Saccharomyces cerevisiae S288C: one gene and its partner. The protein of the gene in region 2 purifies or fractionates together with the protein of the main gene of each other region. This does not show direct contact. Each region holds a gene or a part of one and is shown on either strand. Other genes may lie near its edges. The genes, in order: LSM12 and PBP4.

Region 1 (2,731 bases), on a different chromosome or scaffold from region 2:
TTTGAAAAAAATTTGATTGATGATATTTTGAAGTTTTTAAATGAGGAAGAGCTAGCAAAGTCACAAGATGCTAAACAGAATGCAGATGTAACTAGAATGCTTGACATAGATGTAAAAGACAAGAAAGAAAGTAACAAAGATGAGATTTTTGAATTAAGAGATTTTATCGTAAACCCTTCGTTCAATACCAAACTTAGGAAATTGCATGACACTTATCAGGGCGTTTGGCAAAAAAAAACTGAGTACAATGCTTTATTAAAAGGTTTTTTTGTTGGCGACCTAGGTGCTAAGACTTTCACCTTGAAGGAAAGGCAAAACGGTGAGTATGCCCTCCATGTGACAGGAACAGCCTCTAGTTTAAAGAAAATTGATGAGTTAATTAGTAAATCGACGGAGTACCACGGAAGTTGCTTCCATATTTTGCAAAAATCAAGCCAAACACGATGGTTGAGTCACAAAATTTGGACAGACTTGGGGCACGAGTTGGAATTATTAAATTTAAAGATTAGGAATGAAGAGGCTAATATTATTGATCTTTTTAAAAGGAAATTTATTGATAGAAGTAACGAGGTCAGACAAGTTGCAACTACACTGGGCTATCTTGATACCTTATCGTCCTTTGCTGTGTTAGCTAACGAGAGAAATTTAGTCTGCCCAAAAGTGGATGAGAGCAATAAACTAGAAGTAGTGAATGGGAGACATCTAATGGTTGAAGAGGGTCTTTCCGCGCGCTCTTTGGAGACATTCACGGCCAATAACTGCGAATTGGCGAAGGACAATTTATGGGTAATTACCGGACCGAATATGGGTGGTAAATCTACATTCTTAAGACAGAATGCAATTATAGTCATTCTGGCGCAAATTGGATGTTTTGTTCCATGCAGTAAGGCGCGTGTGGGTATTGTAGATAAGCTTTTTAGCCGAGTTGGTTCAGCAGATGATCTGTACAATGAGATGAGTACGTTCATGGTTGAGATGATAGAAACATCGTTCATCTTGCAAGGAGCTACGGAACGGTCTTTAGCTATTCTAGATGAGATTGGCCGTGGGACTAGTGGTAAAGAAGGCATTAGCATCGCTTATGCAACTTTAAAGTATTTGTTAGAGAACAATCAATGCAGAACGCTTTTTGCTACACATTTTGGTCAAGAACTGAAGCAAATCATTGATAACAAATGTTCGAAAGGAATGAGCGAAAAGGTCAAGTTTTACCAAAGCGGAATCACTGATTTAGGTGGAAACAATTTTTGTTACAACCATAAGTTGAAGCCGGGCATCTGCACGAAATCAGATGCCATTAGAGTTGCGGAATTGGCCGGATTTCCAATGGAAGCGTTAAAAGAAGCCCGCGAAATATTGGGATAACTTTTGAATACAACTATTAATTGTATATAATTTGACATGTAATATAATAAGATGTGGAATCAATTTCCCTGTCTTTTTTTTCAAAAGCGACTGTGAAGATACTTAGAAAATGGCAAAAACGGTAGTTTGCAAATTTCCGTAGTTTGTCGCGCGAATGATATTAGCGGAAACAAAACGATCAAACCTTATACCATGAATATAATGGTGGATATTTATTACGGTAAGGAAACACTCTGAGCCAGGCTTGTAAATAGCGGTTATCTAAGCTTGTAACTAAAGAAATCAATTTGCATCTTTCGTCCATGAGTGTCAGCCTTGAGCAAACGCTCGGATTCAGAATAAAAGTTACGAACGTGTTGGATGTAGTTACTGAAGGAAGATTGTATTCGTTCAATTCATCCAACAACACTCTTACTATCCAAACAACAAAGAAGAATCAATCTCCACAAAACTTCAAGGTGATAAAATGTACATTCATCAAGCATTTGGAAGTCATTGGTGATAAGCCCTCGTTTAACTCATTCAAAAAGCAACAAATCAAACCCTCATATGTCAACGTGGAAAGAGTTGAGAAGCTTTTGAAAGAAAGTGTAATAGCATCTAAAAAGAAAGAACTCTTAAGGGGCAAGGGTGTGAGTGCAGAGGGTCAGTTCATTTTCGATCAAATCTTCAAGACCATAGGAGATACTAAGTGGGTGGCTAAAGACATCATTATTCTTGATGACGTTAAGGTGCAACCTCCATACAAGGTCGAAGATATCAAAGTGCTACATGAGGGAAGTAACCAATCCATTACATTAATTCAAAGAATAGTGGAAAGAAGCTGGGAGCAGCTAGAACAAGACGATGGTAGGAAAGGTGGATAGATTAATTAATGACGGAAACGATAATATACGTTATATATTTTATCCGTACTTCTATAATGTCAACTATTGTTTATAAAGAGATCCATTTGAGTCTACAGATTTTTCTATTTATCAAACTATAATATTCCACCACTCTCTTCTCAGTCGCAATGCTTGGGTGTACGGTGTTTGAATAATTGAATTAGATTTAAATGCGAATAAGTGATGACTAACAAGCAAAAAAATCGAGTATTTCAAGATCCAGTCGAATATAAAATCTTGCTACTGCATTATTCTACGATTTCCTGTTATCACTTATAGTACACATGTCTGAGTTTTTGAATGAAAATCCCGACATTTTAGAGGAGAACCAACTTCCCACTAGAAAAGAAGATAGTACCAAGGACCTTTTGTTAGGCGGGTTCAGCAACGAAGCTACGCTGGAAAGGAGAAGCCTTTTGCTGAAAATAGACCATTCTTTAAAGTCTCAGGTATTGCAAGATATAGAGGTCTTAGACAAG
Region 2 (16,763 bases):
ATTTTCTATAACATCTAACATTACTTCACGCCTTCTAATTAAAGTATAGTTTGTGCAAACAATATGTGAGCTCACGTAGACAATTGTCTAATATATCATTAATGTCCCTTGCATAGAACTTCCTTTTTTTTTCTCAGCGTCGCAATATCTCTGTCGAGAAACGCTTACGCATTATAATAAGCCAAGGAAAAATAGCGAAAAGCCGATGCAGATCTACAGGAGTGATGAAAGTACTAAAAAGATCAGAAAAGGGAATATTTGTCAAATAACCAAGTCGAAATGGAAAAAAAACATGTCACTGTGCAAATACAAAGTGCTCCCCCCTCCTATATCAAATTGGAAGCAAATGAAAAATTCGTATATATTACAAGTACAATGAACGGCTTATCTTATCAAATTGCGGCTATAGTTTCATACCCAGAAAAGAGAAATTCATCAACTGCAAATAAAGAAGATGGTAAATTACTGTGCAAGGAAAATAAACTAGCATTGTTACTACACGGAAGTCAATCTCACAAGAACGCTATTTATCAAACTTTACTAGCAAAAAGGCTGGCCGAATTCGGATATTGGGTACTAAGAATAGATTTTAGGGGCCAAGGTGATTCCTCAGATAACTGCGACCCTGGCCTTGGTAGGACGCTCGCTCAGGATCTTGAAGATTTGAGTACAGTATACCAAACAGTATCTGACAGGTCTCTTAGGGTGCAATTGTACAAAACTAGTACAATATCACTGGACGTGGTTGTGGCACATTCTAGAGGATCTCTTGCCATGTTCAAATTCTGTCTAAAATTACATGCAGCTGAATCTCCATTACCGTCTCACCTGATCAATTGCGCTGGAAGATATGATGGGAGAGGACTTATTGAACGCTGCACACGACTGCACCCGCATTGGCAAGCAGAAGGTGGGTTTTGGGCGAATGGTCCACGAAATGGCGAATACAAAGACTTTTGGATACCATTAAGTGAGACTTATAGTATCGCTGGCGTTTGCGTTCCGGAATTTGCCACGATACCACAAACTTGTTCAGTAATGTCCTGCTATGGCATGTGTGATCACATAGTGCCAATTAGCGCAGCCTCAAATTATGCAAGGCTTTTCGAGGGCAGACATTCATTGAAACTTATTGAAAATGCGGACCACAATTATTATGGCATTGAAGGTGATCCCAACGCGCTAGGCTTACCGATAAGGAGGGGTAGAGTCAACTACTCACCACTAGTAGTTGATCTAATTATGGAATACCTGCAAGATACATAGACCATACAACTACATATTAATCTAAGATAAGTCTTGTGCTGAGTTTGGTCACTTTGCGGGATCACCCGCATAAAGTCGTCGGCATTGCAGTTTAAGATCAAATAGAGGCAATACTACGCTGTGAGACGATATTTCTGATCGTGATTAAACTGGTATTCCACATGTTCAGCATCCATTAGCCGTTAGAGATAATTCATTTACGTTCCTTTTTTCTCTTGCGCTTGAGATTGTTAGATTGTTAAATTACTACTGCTTTGTTTTTCCATCCGATTAGTATAATCAACAGATGAAAAAATGAAAAAAAGAAAACAAAATCAACATAACTTGCACAAGATTGAGCCATCGGAAAATAAAGCCCATTGTAATTCATATAACTAAACATCATATCAAGTGCGATTGGTCTGCAAAATCGTGCTTAACATTCCGAGACACAACGTAAATCCCAGAAACACAAGCATGTCTAACCAAATATACTCAGCGAGATATTCGGGGGTTGATGTTTATGAATTCATTCATTCTACAGGATCTATCATGAAAAGGAAAAAGGATGATTGGGTCAATGCTACACATATTTTAAAGGCCGCCAATTTTGCCAAGGCTAAAAGAACAAGGATTCTAGAGAAGGAAGTACTTAAGGAAACTCATGAAAAAGTTCAGGGTGGATTTGGTAAATATCAGGGTACATGGGTCCCACTGAACATAGCGAAACAACTGGCAGAAAAATTTAGTGTCTACGATCAGCTGAAACCGTTGTTCGACTTTACGCAAACAGATGGGTCTGCTTCTCCACCTCCTGCTCCAAAACATCACCATGCCTCGAAGGTGGATAGGAAAAAGGCTATTAGAAGTGCAAGTACTTCCGCAATTATGGAAACAAAAAGAAACAACAAGAAAGCCGAGGAAAATCAATTTCAAAGCAGCAAAATATTGGGAAATCCCACGGCTGCACCAAGGAAAAGAGGTAGACCGGTAGGATCTACGAGGGGAAGTAGGCGGAAGTTAGGTGTCAATTTACAACGTTCTCAAAGTGATATGGGATTTCCTAGACCGGCGATACCGAATTCTTCAATATCGACAACGCAACTTCCCTCTATTAGATCCACCATGGGACCACAATCCCCTACATTGGGTATTCTGGAAGAAGAAAGGCACGATTCTCGACAGCAGCAGCCGCAACAAAATAATTCTGCACAGTTCAAAGAAATTGATCTTGAGGACGGCTTATCAAGCGATGTGGAACCTTCACAACAATTACAACAAGTTTTTAATCAAAATACTGGATTTGTACCCCAACAACAATCTTCCTTGATACAGACACAGCAAACAGAATCAATGGCCACGTCCGTATCTTCCTCTCCTTCATTACCTACGTCACCGGGCGATTTTGCCGATAGTAATCCATTTGAAGAGCGATTTCCCGGTGGTGGAACATCTCCTATTATTTCCATGATCCCGCGTTATCCTGTAACTTCAAGGCCTCAAACATCGGATATTAATGATAAAGTTAACAAATACCTTTCAAAATTGGTTGATTATTTTATTTCCAATGAAATGAAGTCAAATAAGTCCCTACCACAAGTGTTATTGCACCCACCTCCACACAGCGCTCCCTATATAGATGCTCCAATCGATCCAGAATTACATACTGCCTTCCATTGGGCTTGTTCTATGGGTAATTTACCAATTGCTGAGGCGTTGTACGAAGCCGGAACAAGTATCAGATCGACAAATTCTCAAGGCCAAACTCCATTGATGAGAAGTTCCTTATTCCACAATTCATACACTAGAAGAACTTTCCCTAGAATTTTCCAGCTACTGCACGAGACCGTATTTGATATCGATTCGCAATCACAAACAGTAATTCACCATATTGTGAAACGAAAATCAACAACACCTTCTGCAGTTTATTATCTTGATGTTGTGCTATCTAAGATCAAGGATTTTTCCCCACAGTATAGAATTGAATTACTTTTAAACACACAAGACAAAAATGGCGATACCGCACTTCATATTGCTTCTAAAAATGGAGATGTTGTTTTTTTTAATACACTGGTCAAAATGGGTGCATTAACTACTATTTCCAATAAGGAAGGATTAACCGCCAATGAAATAATGAATCAACAATATGAGCAAATGATGATACAAAATGGTACAAATCAACATGTCAATTCTTCAAACACGGACTTGAATATCCACGTTAATACAAACAACATTGAAACGAAAAATGATGTTAATTCAATGGTAATCATGTCGCCTGTTTCTCCTTCGGATTACATAACCTATCCATCTCAAATTGCCACCAATATATCAAGAAATATTCCAAATGTAGTGAATTCTATGAAGCAAATGGCTAGCATATACAACGATCTTCATGAACAGCATGACAACGAAATAAAAAGTTTGCAAAAAACTTTAAAAAGCATTTCTAAGACGAAAATACAGGTAAGCCTAAAAACTTTAGAGGTATTGAAAGAGAGCAGTAAAGATGAAAACGGCGAAGCTCAGACTAATGATGACTTCGAAATTTTATCTCGTCTACAAGAACAAAATACTAAGAAATTGAGAAAAAGGCTCATACGATACAAACGGTTGATAAAACAAAAGCTGGAATACAGGCAAACGGTTTTATTGAACAAATTAATAGAAGATGAAACTCAGGCTACCACCAATAACACAGTTGAGAAAGATAATAATACGCTGGAAAGGTTGGAATTGGCTCAAGAACTAACGATGTTGCAATTACAAAGGAAAAACAAATTGAGTTCCTTGGTGAAGAAATTTGAAGACAATGCCAAGATTCATAAATATAGACGGATTATCAGGGAAGGTACGGAAATGAATATTGAAGAAGTAGATAGTTCGCTGGATGTAATACTACAGACATTGATAGCCAACAATAATAAAAATAAGGGCGCAGAACAGATCATCACAATCTCAAACGCGAATAGTCATGCATAAAATATACATAAATAGAGGAACTTTACATGTATCCATATACTGAAAAATAGATAAAACAATGAGATAATATTTATTAACTTCTACGTAAATAAAAAGTTACATAAGGATCAACCTTTTTTTCTTTATTTTCTTTTTTTTTTTTATTTTTCATTTTCAATTACAAACTAAGACATAACAGTAAGCAGTGCTTTTTCTGTGCATGTTTTCCTCTTTTTATAATGATATTGGCTAAAATAAAATTAACAAAAACAGATGAGTGATATAGATTATATTCATTACAGTTCGTTTTCCTAACTCACATAATAATAGCTTCCTTTGGAACATTATCGGAGATAGACTTATGAGGTAAGACTTTACCACCGTTGATGTAGATTTCGTCCTTAACTTCAACGTCGTCACCCAAGACAGTGACACCTTCCAAACGACACCATTGACCAACGGTAGAGTTCCAGCCTACGATGGTAGATTTGACCAAGGAGTGGTTCTTGATGGTGGAGTTGCACAAAACAACAGATCTGGTGATTCTAACACCATCACCGATGGTGACATTAGGACCGATAACCACGTCTGGGCCAATCTTAGCAGTGGAGGAAATCTTAGCGGTTGGGTCGATCAAGGCATTACCAACAATGTTGGCACCTGTAGCCAATTTTTTTGGTTGTCTCTTGGCCAAAGAGTTCAAGTAAAGAACGGTACCAGACAAGAAGTCCTTTGGTTGACCAACATCCATCCAGAAACCTTCCAAATCGAAGGAATATAGTTGTTTTTCTTCGACCAAGATTGGGAAAGTTTCCTTTTCAATTGAAGTTGGCTTCATTTCAATCAAGTCAATGACTTCTGGGTTTAAAATGTACAAACCGGCGTTAATTCTGTTACCAACAAATTCCTTTGGCTTTTCAACAAATCTGTCAATCAAGTTTGGAGTAGCTATATCATGGACAATGACACCGTATTTAGAAGGTTCGTCGACCTTGGTAGCAACAATGGTACCTTTACCACCGTGAGCTTTGTGGAAGTCAGCCAATTCCTTGAATGGATATTCGCAAATGACGTCGGAGTTTAGGACGAAAAATGGAGAGTTGTCCTTCTTCAAAACATCTTCAGCCAATTTCAATGGACCTGCAGTACCTAATGGTTCAGTTTCTACAGAGAAAGTGATGTTAACACCATATTCCTTTTCGTACTTCTTCAAAGTTTCCACCATGACTTCTGGTCTGTAATTAACAGCAAGAACGATGTCAGTAACACCAGCGTTGGCTAAAGCCTCGATTTGGTGTAAAATCATTGGTCTATTACCGAATTCAACCAGTGGCTTTGGAACGGTCAAAGTTAAAGGTCTCAATCTGGTACCGTAACCACCGACTAAAATTAAACCTTTCATTTTTCAATTATATATGTTTTATTTGTTGAAGTTGTAGCTTGTCTTGTGCTGATAATATTTTGTTTGTATAGTCAACAAAATATTTGGACAGAAGAAAAGAGTTAGCGAATGTAAAGTAGTTTGCACACTTGATGAACGTTATCAAAGTCAAAGAGGTGAGAACAAGATAGACAAAGAAAAAAAAAATACAGTTTTGGAGAAAAGAAAACAAGACTATGTGAAACTTCTAACAATGACGTGAAAAGTCTACTATATATATGTTTACAAGAGCGCCACGAGGCAAGGAAAAAAAGAAAACAAAGCGAGAAACCACCAGCTTACTTTACTACCGGTCAGCTGTGGTTCTGTGTCTGTTCGTCTGTTTGTTTGTTTGTTTGTTTATTGCTGCGCTGTTCATGCTGAAAAACGACAAAAACAAAGAAAAAAAAGTTTTTCAGAGATTGAGATAAAAATAAACGTGGTGGCTCCCGAGGCATTTCTAGCTGGCCAGCAAGTACACGGTGGCCGTTTCTTTTGGCGTTTTTTTTTTCTGTTTTCGCGTTCTTCATGCTGTGCGTTGCTGGTGAGGTGGCGTGGACGGTTTGGTTTAGGCAATGATAGAAAAAGCTATAGTCAGAGTTGCAGGAAAGGACGAAAGTAGTCCATTTGGTGCCGTTATCCAAGGGTCTTGCTCTTAGTCTTGCTTTTCACCCAGCACGCGGTAAGAAGGATCGGGTGCAGCATGAAGAATGCTGACTGTACGCGTTTCGATTTGAAGCTTTAGGATGTTCTGTGGGTTGGGTTGGCTCGATCGACAGTGCGTATAGTGACCTTTGAACTGTACCGGGTGGCACGTCGTGCACAGAATCAGAAGTAGTTATAAAAGATTTGTAATTGCGTATATGCAACCAAGTTTAGGCTTTCTCCGTGCCGTTTTTTAAGGTGAAATGTACTCCTCTTGAAAATGTAAAAAAATGGAGCCTCGCAGAGCAGCTTGCCAAGCAGGTTGATACAAGGTGAGCCGCCGAAACATAACGATAAACGTGGTATAGTTTTCGATTGCCTTTAGTTTGGGTGGTCTCAGTGCTGGCACCTGACGAACTATTCGTAGGCAGGAGAACTTGCATCATGTGGTGTTCTTCCGAGATAGGGATGCCGTTTGGTCCTTACGAAAGTCAATGTTCTGGTACTACTAATTATTAACATAGTTCGTTGTATACACACTCTTTACTTTCATAAGAAATAAAAAGCACGTCTAAGAAATCTCTACGTCTTGGCTGCGGCAAGCAACTGCATAGAAAGCACATAGTAGTAACTCTAAAATGCGAGCTTCATACAGACAATTACATAAATGCAACATAGGCAGCATGGGATCCTGGGTTTCATATCGTCAAAGAAAGCCACCAACTGGCTTTACCATAAAAATACGAAAAGAAGTGCACACATTCTTCTTTTTGGCTCATCACAAGTTCTTCAATTTACTGTCATTACTTTTGTTTCCTTGTCAGATAATGTATGGGTGGTGTGTACACCAAGGTATTTTTTTTTTTACTTGGCAGATCTGCAATGCATAATAGAATGGTAAGGGAACGAGTAACAGACGGGAAGCGAATGCGAACACAAAGAATATAAATTTGAAATCTCCTGTTGCAAAGGATTCTCTAGACATTTACTATCTCAGTGACAATTCTCGAGTGAAACAAGAAATTGAGATGGTAGGTCAGCGCCCATACTTCTTGAATCAATTGGAGGAGCGGATAAAGCAAGTTTCCCCCCTCAATGTAAATCATCTTAAGCAAAATTTTAAAATCTAGGCACATATAAAGAGAAAATGGGAATGATTTTGCTGGATAGGCTACAGTGTTAGGAATGCAGAATTAGGAACTATAGATGATGCGATTAAAGATATTAAACGAGAAGTGACAGTGGTGGCTTCGACAACGGCAGTCGTGCTCGGTCGACAACGTGTATGTTTTTGCCGAGCAGAGCAGGGAAAGTCCTTCTTTCTGCGCGTGAATCAAAACACATTGGTATCGAATTTAACATATCTGGGTGAGGAATGGACAATCCTAATAAAGTACTGGAGGTTTGTCTGTATTTCCAAGTTCTTGCTTGTAGAAACTGCTTTCTTTTCTCTTTTCCTGCAGCGGTCGAACATATGTGATTATTGATTAGCCATTTGTTCCAAGTCATATAGTAGTATTACGTGTTCAGATGCGGTGTTAGCGTATCTTTTTGTTAAATAAAATATCATTGTGCCGTTGCCGCCCTACCTGCCAAGGGTCAAAGAAGGCACCTTTATACGATGCCACCTTTTTATAGTATTCTACTACAGAGTCATCGTTCACCAGTTACTGTTCATTCTACTAAATTAGTATGGCGTGTTGCATAGAAGGAAGCATGAATTACAAGATCAGTAGAACAAAAAGTTCAACTGTTTGGAATTTAGTTGAACATGTGACGAAAGCTCTGCTACTAAGACAGGGGCAAAAAATAACAATATGTAAGCATAAGAAATGGGTCAATGTTGGGATACTTGGTGAATTCCGTTCTTTTTAGAAGCGGATTTTCTTATTCGTTTATATGTTGCCATTCATTACCCTATCATATTATGAATCTTCACATTTTATTTTCCATAAGATCTGATGACTGTTTCCCAATCACCTTACATCATATATGATAATGTACAATTGATATGAAGAATAGCAGTCGATGGATGATATTTTATTCTTATTATCAACATGTACAAAGTGTTGGAACGGTAAAGACCAGTGCAAATCTGATAAAACTTTAAAATAACATGGACAAATTTATGTCCAGGATTCTCCGAAGAACTCATCCTTGTTAGCTCAGTTGGTAGAGCGTTCGGCTTTTAAGCGCATTTGCTTAAGCAAGGATACCGAAATGTCAGGGGTTCGAGCCCCCTATGAGGAGTTCTTTCTTTTTTTCTCTCAATTTTTAACCGGTACCTTTAAAAGGGTATCAAAAACAATAGCATAGCATAAAAGAAATAAGTGCAATTTATTGGTGTCATTTATATAAGCTATGAATTTTAAAAAAAATAAATGTAGCAGTTTCTTTTTTGTTTAAATTCTGAGTTTTCTACTTTTTAATTTCCAAAATACTACAGCTGAAAGAACAGCGGATACAACGAATGCGATACTGCTGTACTTGTAGACAGCCGAAATACAGGACGGATTTCGCAGATCTCCTCCGCCACTCATACAGCGAGAATCGTAAAATTTGGCATACAACATGCAAAATATCATAGAACCTATAGCAGGTGCAATTAGTAAGCTACCGTAAACAGTCCCGAATGAGCGTTCGCCCCATACTAACAGGACCAGCGTCGGATAAACAGTGAAAAGTCCACCGTATACAATTCCAACCAATGATCCTGTAGGTACTAGCCCCCAGGGTGACGCTGAAGAGGTCATTTTCAATAAAAACAGTTGTGCACATACCCCTAATGAAAGGAAAGTCAACAGGATCCATTTAATTGATATTTTTTTCTTGGCGAAGAAGTCTGCCACTATGCCTGTGAGCAATCTCGTAAAAGTGGAAGATAGCGCGTATGTGGATAACAACTTTGTAGATAAGGTTGGCGCATCTAATTGGACTAGCAGGTTAGTCAGTGATCCCATATTGGCAATAAACATCTCGAGGGGCCCAAGTGATAACAAAATTGATACCGCTAGGATATATGTCACAGGATCACTAAAGATCCTTAGCATCGTCTGCGTAAACTTTTCTTGAACATGATTACTTCGTTCTAACAGCGGTGATTGTTCCACATCAGTTTGATCATCCAGCCGTTTTTGGTTGTCTTGCTCTTCATTAAAATGCAAAAGTGATACCACGCTGGTGGCTATCCATGCAAGTAGCCCAATAACGACATAAACGAGGGCAAATGTTTGGAATACTCTTCCCAGGTTTAAGTCACTATTGGACGAGGAAGAACTTGCGTTAGAGGACCAGAACCATTTGATTCTTAGCAGTTGAGAACCGACTACAGAAGAAATACCATAACATGTCGTTGGTAAGCTAATGGATAGTAGTTTTGTATGAGGATATAGCTTAGTGCATGTCAGTAAAGCGCTAAAGTATAAAGCGCTTGTTGATATACCTATGAAAACGAAACAAATGATGGATAGATTGAATGATGAGTCACCATTTCCTCCGAGAGATAACTCCGGATGATTAAAAACGTAAGCCAGATATGAATAGCTAGGTATGAACCCTATGATGGCTAAAAGACTTAAAGTAATGGGGCCATGAGAATCAGCGATCATCCCCAAGATTGGTGGCGTCAAGTACATCCCCAAATTAGTCATACTAGCGATGGTGTTGATTTGCCATGAGGAATAATTTAAATGTTTCTGCCACGGTTGAGAGTAAAGAGATATCAAAGTAATGAAGCCAGTTGACACCGCAGATAATAGCGAAAAGATGTATGCAACACGATGTGATGACTGAAGAGACAAAACATGGGGTAAGAGTAAGCGCGTATGGTATGAAAGGTAGTGCTCCACCTTTGATAGAGGCATGATTTGCACTTGGAAAATGGTTATTGCTATAAAATGATATGAAAGGAAACTAGTCTCGATGAAACGTTAGAAGTTGCTGTCTGAGTAGCGGTCTCTGTTATCTTGTATTTACACTGTATAATAGTTTTTCTTGTAGGGCAAAAAGAAAGGTACTAATTTCCGAACGATGCGAAAAGCCGCTAGCATCGGAAAGGCTAAGTGAACTATGCAATAAAGACTAAGAGAAAAAGCAAAGAAAGGCGTCTTAACACAGTATACATTTTTCGACATTATGAATTATAAAATTTTTATTTACGCTTGTAAAATAATATTTTCATTTCTTCTATTTTCCTCTTTTCTTCGTTTTCTTGACTTCATACTTCATTTTTTGTTTGACTCCTTTTTGCGTTATGAAACGTGATGCTTCGATATTCTCATTGGTTTCTTAAAACTTTAGCAATATCGGACAAACAGCCGTATTTTTTATTCTTATTTTTACTGCTTGATACAGTACCCCAGTCAGTGGCTGTTGAAACTCTGCCACTTGCCGTTTCTGATAGTACTTGCTTATAAGTTTTCATTGAATGACTTTTTTCACCAGCGGTATAGCTCTGAAATAATTTGTGCATATACGATCTAACTTCTTCTCTATTGTAAGGTTGTTTATTCGCTCTTTTAAATTTCTTATTTGTGGATGATCCATTGGCGGTGGAACTACCCTTTATATTAGCAGGCGGCGCGGTAGATGCGATGGTTTTAGTCTTCGTATTAGCAGGTTGTACAGCCACGGAATCATCTTTTCGTGCCTGCTGTTGCTGTTGCTGTTGCCTTGGAAGGGCTTTGGCAGCTGCCTGCGCCCAACCTGTTAATTTTGGCTTCTGAGGAAGCACAGCGGGCGTTGGACCATTTGAATTTGGACCTGAAGCAGATAAAGTAGCCTTCAAAGTCGAGGAGGTTCTGCCATCTACACTGGTTGTTGAGGTTGTTGTCATTTCGTACTAGATTAAAGGGAAAATTGTATCGTAAATAAGTAATAAAGTTAATGAAAATTCGGAAACAAAAATGGATAGATATTAAACAGTGAACAAATGAAAAATTTCAGAAAAAAAGAATTAAAAAAAAAAAGGGAAAAAATATGCACAAGATCGTATTATTTGTTGTTCCTCGTATTTTTCTTTCTATTTAGTCTCACATTTTTGACACATGCCTGGTGTTATATATACATTACAATGGAAAGTTCTTTTCTCTTTCTCCGAATAAAGTAGCGGTCTATTGATCACTTCTTACGCTGGGTATATGAGTCGTAATAAATAAAATCATCAGAATCATTCGTAAGTCATTTTACTTTTTTAAAAAGATAATTACAGTTTTTGGGTCTATATACTACTCTAAAAATGTGGTGGTGGCTTAATGCATCTTTTTTACAGATGAACCTTCGTTATGGGTATTGACATCGTTGCTAATGCTGACAGAAGGCACAGGCTCATTCTTGATTTTCTTGTTCACTTTCTTGTCATGTTGAAGAGCGGCATACTCAATAGCTTGTGGTGGGAGGGTTGTATCGTTGATGGCGGGAGAGTAGCCAATCTCCTTCAAAGTGTCAACCATTTGATCTCTAACTTTTTCAGCAAATTCACCAATTTTGTCCTTTGTTAAGTTCTCGGTTGAAATAGGTTTTAAAATTCTAACAATCATACAGCCTCTGTTGAAGACCCCATATTTAGGACTTACTAAAGTACTGGTATTGGAAACAACCACTGGAACAATGGGGATCTTACCCTGTTGTGCCAAATGGAAAGCACCCTTCTTGAAAGGCAACATTGTCAGCTCACTCGTGTAAGACCTGGTACCCTCAGGAAAAACCCATAGAGCACGCTTGTTTTTCTTAACATTTTCTAAACCTTTATTCAAGGTGTCAATGGCTTCTTGCCTTTTAGATCTGTCTAAGAAATATGTACCACTCAAAGCCATGAACCAACCCAGAAAGGGGACGTATTTCAAAGACTTCTTGGCAGTAACTGTGCAACCAGGGGGGAAAATCCTACCTAACATGAAGATATCCAAGGTGGATTGGTGATTGGCAATCATAATATATGGCTTCTTGGCCAAATTCTCCTCGCCAACGACCTTGACGTCAAGGCCAAGCATCAATTTCATGACATGGTAAAAACAACGCGCAGTAATCCACTGAGCCAAATGTTGCTTACCGATTAACGTGCAAAGGATAGAGGCGATTACACCGTAAAAGCCACAGCCTGCAAGCGCCAGTACGACCAACACGGACCTCAAGTAATACAAGAACCTACCTATCACACTCATTATTTTTTTGCTCGAATTCACTGACGGAGGGAAACCACTAAACTTCTCTATTGAAGAATTCCCCCTTCACCTTAAACCCTTCCTAATATAAGTATTTTGAACACCATACCATATTCTCAACAAAACAAAGGAAGCATAATTGATATCATCATTCACGAGATCCATCTCGTGACCGTGAAAAAATTTTCGTCTTCGTCTTAGTGTAATGTGTTCAGCCCAACCTCATCGCAATATCTCAAGATTTTTGAATTACAACCAAATCAAAAGCACAGAGTCGCATCTCATCGCTATGATGTATTTTTTTCTTTTTCCAAAAAATGGGTTCTATTTGGTTCTACTGGAACTAAAGTAGCATCTGCAAAGAAGTAATGTCTGAAAAACCACAACAAGAGGAGCAAGAGAAACCACAATCAAGACGTAATTCATTTGCTGTGATTGAATTTACTCCAGAAGTCTTGGACAGATGTTTAAAGCAAGTGGAATTCTACTTTTCTGAATTCAACTTTCCATATGACAGGTTCTTGCGCACAACAGCGGAAAAAAACGATGGATGGGTCCCCATCAGCACCATCGCCACATTCAACCGTATGAAGAAATATAGACCAGTGGATAAGGTTATCGAAGCACTACGTAGTTCTGAAATTTTGGAAGTATCTGCTGATGGAGAGAACGTCAAGAGACGTGTTCCTTTGGACCTAACTGCTGCCAGAAATGCCAGAATTGAGCAAAACCAACGGACTTTGGCTGTAATGAATTTCCCACATGAGGACGTTGAAGCTTCCCAAATTCCTGAATTGCAGGAGAACTTGGAAGCCTTTTTCAAAAAATTAGGTGAAATCAACCAAGTGCGTTTGAGAAGAGATCACAGAAACAAGAAATTTAATGGTACGGTCTTGGTGGAATTTAAGACAATTCCAGAATGTGAAGCTTTTTTGAAATCGTATTCCAATGACGATGAGTCCAACGAAATTTTGTCATATGAAGGTAAGAAACTGAGTGTTTTGACGAAAAAACAGTTTGATTTACAGAGAGAGGCCTCGAAGTCCAAAAACTTCAGCGGTAGATCAAGATCCTTTAACGGCCATAAGAAGAAAAACTTGCCTAAATTCCCCAAAAATAAGAAGAAAAACGGCAAGGAAGAGTCAAAAGAGGACTCTTCTGCCATTGCCGATGACGATGAGGAGCACAAGGAGTGATTCTTGTGTTTCTTCTGGTTCTCGTATCTCATTATCATAGCATATTAAGAATATATGTACTAACATATGTACTAAACAGAAACACAATATGAATTACAACTAATACTATATTATTTGTCTCCTTTTTTTATTAGTATTAAAAATTACCGTTACTGGTTAAAATGGAATACAGCTCATCCATTTAAAAAAAAAAAAAAATAGAATAACAATAATTAAGCAGAAAAAATGTTAACGAATATAATAAATCGATTTGTCCATTTTCATAAATTTTTTTTTTGTATTATTTCATTATCTGTGCCTCAAAGCATTAACTTTTCTTGCAGTCAGAGAGAGTCTCTTGCGTGGATTATACCAACCGCCATTATCAGCCGGCATAGGGGCCGGCGTAGCATAGTTACTATCAGCTGTAATTATGTATGACCACCCTGGTGTTACGGTAGTATGTTGATCAACGGAGTTTCTTAAAGTGTAGTAATACGTTACCTCACTGGTCGCGTACTTCCTTTTCCATGTCTTTGCTGTTACCTTAGTAGCCGGTTGGAGTTGCATGGGAGCATATTTCACAACACCTGTTTGTAAGTTGTAGGGAACGGTGAAACTCTTAGAATCAATCGTGGCACCCACATCTCCTGTGGTAATTCTTGTTTGTGCCTCTGGTGCAATGGTTATCATACTCGGATTAGCGGCTTTTGTACCAATCATCCCTTTTAGTTTAAATCTGTTAGTGTAATGAATGGTGTAACCGATAGCTGTTTGCGCAAAGACTTGTATGAAGTAAACACCGTCCGTCCCAACGGTGTTTTCTATTATCGCATTGAACTCGTTGTCTGTCAGATCACTCGCACTGAGTGTTTGAAGAGTAGCCATTGCTTCTATCATGGCATTGGTACCCGAACACAGAGTAAACGTGTATCTGACAAAATCCTTTTCCTGTGGTGTGTTATCTGTATGCATCCACTTTACTTTGACAACAGCCTGACTTGTACCAGATAAATCATAAACTGAGTTGGGTTCTGGAGCCACAATGGCCACATCACAATAAGCTGTTCGGAACACTACCGAACAAAATAATGTTAAGAATAATACTATCAGCATACGTTTTACGTAATTGATTTTTTATTATTGTTACCTACCTAAGAAGTCGACGTAATACTTGTATACTTTACTTTTTACTTCTGTGCAACTTTCATCGATACGTTTTTATAAATTTACGTAACTAACTACCTCATGTAATATTATACATGAACGAGCACATAATGTCCAATGTCCCTTACATGTTCGTACTTTCAAAAAAGAAAGAAGAAAATTGGTGAAGAGGAAATGTGCTTTTCTGTTGGAGTTGGTCAACAATATGATGAGGAAGAAGGGAAAGCCGCAAAGACTGGATTTACGCAATGGACTACATTCTCATGTGAAAAAAAGAAGTGCTGCTTCGAAGGTTCGCGACCCTTTCAAGGGACTCGCCGCGATGCAGAGAAAAAAAAAAGAAGAGATAACGTGGGGGCAGCTAAAAAAAGACGAATCGATAATGAGTCCATGACTTGAGCCGGACGGACTTATAATTCGATTCGGGCCTAGGCTTGTACAGCTGAAATAGTGTACAATATAAGGAACTAAACGATCGGAGACCAATCGGAGAGCCGGCAGTTGAATCAGGTGCTTCATCACTGGCATAACCTATCCGCAAACGGCTGATGCAGGTCTCAACGCCCTTCTGGTAAAATCAAAAAAAGTAAAAAAAACGGCTCATGCCAGCTTGCTTCCTGTCAATAGCGGTTGTTGATTTTTTCGCTTCATGCCTAAAAAGAGAAACGAGACACAGAGAGAAAACAAGAATCTAGATTAATAACGTAGGGCAGCGTAACAATAATTTACGCAGAAATGATGTGTATTATTAGGGCATAAATAAATAAATGTATGTATGTGTGTGTATGTATGAGTCGGTGAATGACTTTGGTTTTAGTGATATGAGTAGCCACATCCTTTCCCCACGTGCTTATTTAGCCAGACGTCAACGTTCGGAAATTGCAGTCCACAATGCTTGCACTTCCCCGGCACAACACCTCTATCTTCTTTCTTGGTCTTGGGCGGGTACTCGAAATGCAAAGCCTTTAGGTGATTCTTGAAAGTATCACAGCGCGAAAAAACGCCCGTTTGATGACAGTTTATTGGCTCGAAATAGAGTGATCTAGACTTGTGTGGATACACCTCCATATCCAAATTGATCAGAGTAGAGTTGTAAGGACACTTGAATGCACCTTTAATCTTGTATAGTGATTTCAATTGGTTTTTCTTCAGTAGTTTTGTTTCTTCGGAAGAGGATGAGGCAGCGAGTTTATCGTTTGAGTCGTCGCTGTCGTTGTTTGCGGAGGTGCGGGCAGTGTCATCTTGATCGTCAGCACCACTATTGTTGTCGGACTCCCTTGCGTATATTTGCATAAATTCATCTTTCCAATGGCGCTTCTTGTGCCTTATCAGATCATTGTTCCTGGCAAAGCCGCGTTGACAGATAGGGCACTTATGCGGTCTGTCCTCCGGAGTTAAATGAGTGGATTTATGCGTAGATAGGTTGGCGTAGAAGTTGTGGCAGATGGGGCATTCCTTTTTCTTTCTTTGCTTCGTTATCTTGGCGGAATCCTTTAAAGACGATGAATACCTGCTTGTATGTTCATTAGTCAATGGGGAATGAATAGACGGTAGTGCAGAGGCACTACTACTACTGTTGAGTTGCTGTTGCTGTTGTTGTTTGACGATCAAAGGTGGGAATCCACTAACGGGTAGGCTGGACACGGATTTTGATCTCGGTACGTTATCTACCGCGGTTGGCAATATACTCTGGTGTTGAGTTGGTGGTGAGGGGGTGATGGTTTTGAAACCCGTTGTGTTGTTAGGGTTGCAAAATGTTAGCTCATGTCTGTGATGATCTAGCACTGTTCTTGGCACCGGTGATGTAAAATTGGCATGCAAGGAATTTGATCTGCCGTTAAATTCTCTTTCTGCAACTGTAATTAAATTGGTGAAGGAGGATATGGGTGGCAAAATGACATGGCTTGAGCTGTTGGATGACAGCGGTGTTGGAGAAAGGCTATGAGGGAAATAGCATTTGGAATTATGTGCCAAGGCTGTATTGTCTGTAGG

What was found.
Region 1: the proteins of PBP4 (region 2) and LSM12 purify together in Saccharomyces cerevisiae (affinity purification with mass spectrometry; 4 studies listed by BioGRID). This does not show direct contact.

Annotation. Positions count from the first base shown.
Region 1 is NC_001140.6:351,089-353,819, forward strand, and holds LSM12 (Lsm12p), read left to right. Parts: upstream 1-1,667; coding exon 1,668-2,231; downstream 2,232-2,731. Other genes in the region: mismatch repair ATPase MSH1, read left to right, coding at 1-1,365; iron-sulfur cluster assembly protein CIA2, read left to right, coding at 2,537-2,731.
Region 2 is NC_001136.10:351,155-367,917, forward strand, and holds PBP4 (Pbp4p), read right to left. Parts: upstream 11,103-16,763; coding exon 10,545-11,102; downstream 1-10,544. Other genes in the region: YDL057W (uncharacterized protein), read left to right, coding at 280-1,266; transcription factor MBP1, read left to right, coding at 1,723-4,224; PSA1 (mannose-1-phosphate guanylyltransferase), read right to left, coding at 4,520-5,605; MCH1 (Mch1p), read right to left, coding at 8,671-10,131; 1-acylglycerol-3-phosphate O-acyltransferase SLC1, read right to left, coding at 11,518-12,429; tRNA maturation protein LHP1, read left to right, coding at 12,798-13,625; KNH1 (Knh1p), read right to left, coding at 13,914-14,720; STP4 (Stp4p), read right to left, coding at 15,585-16,763.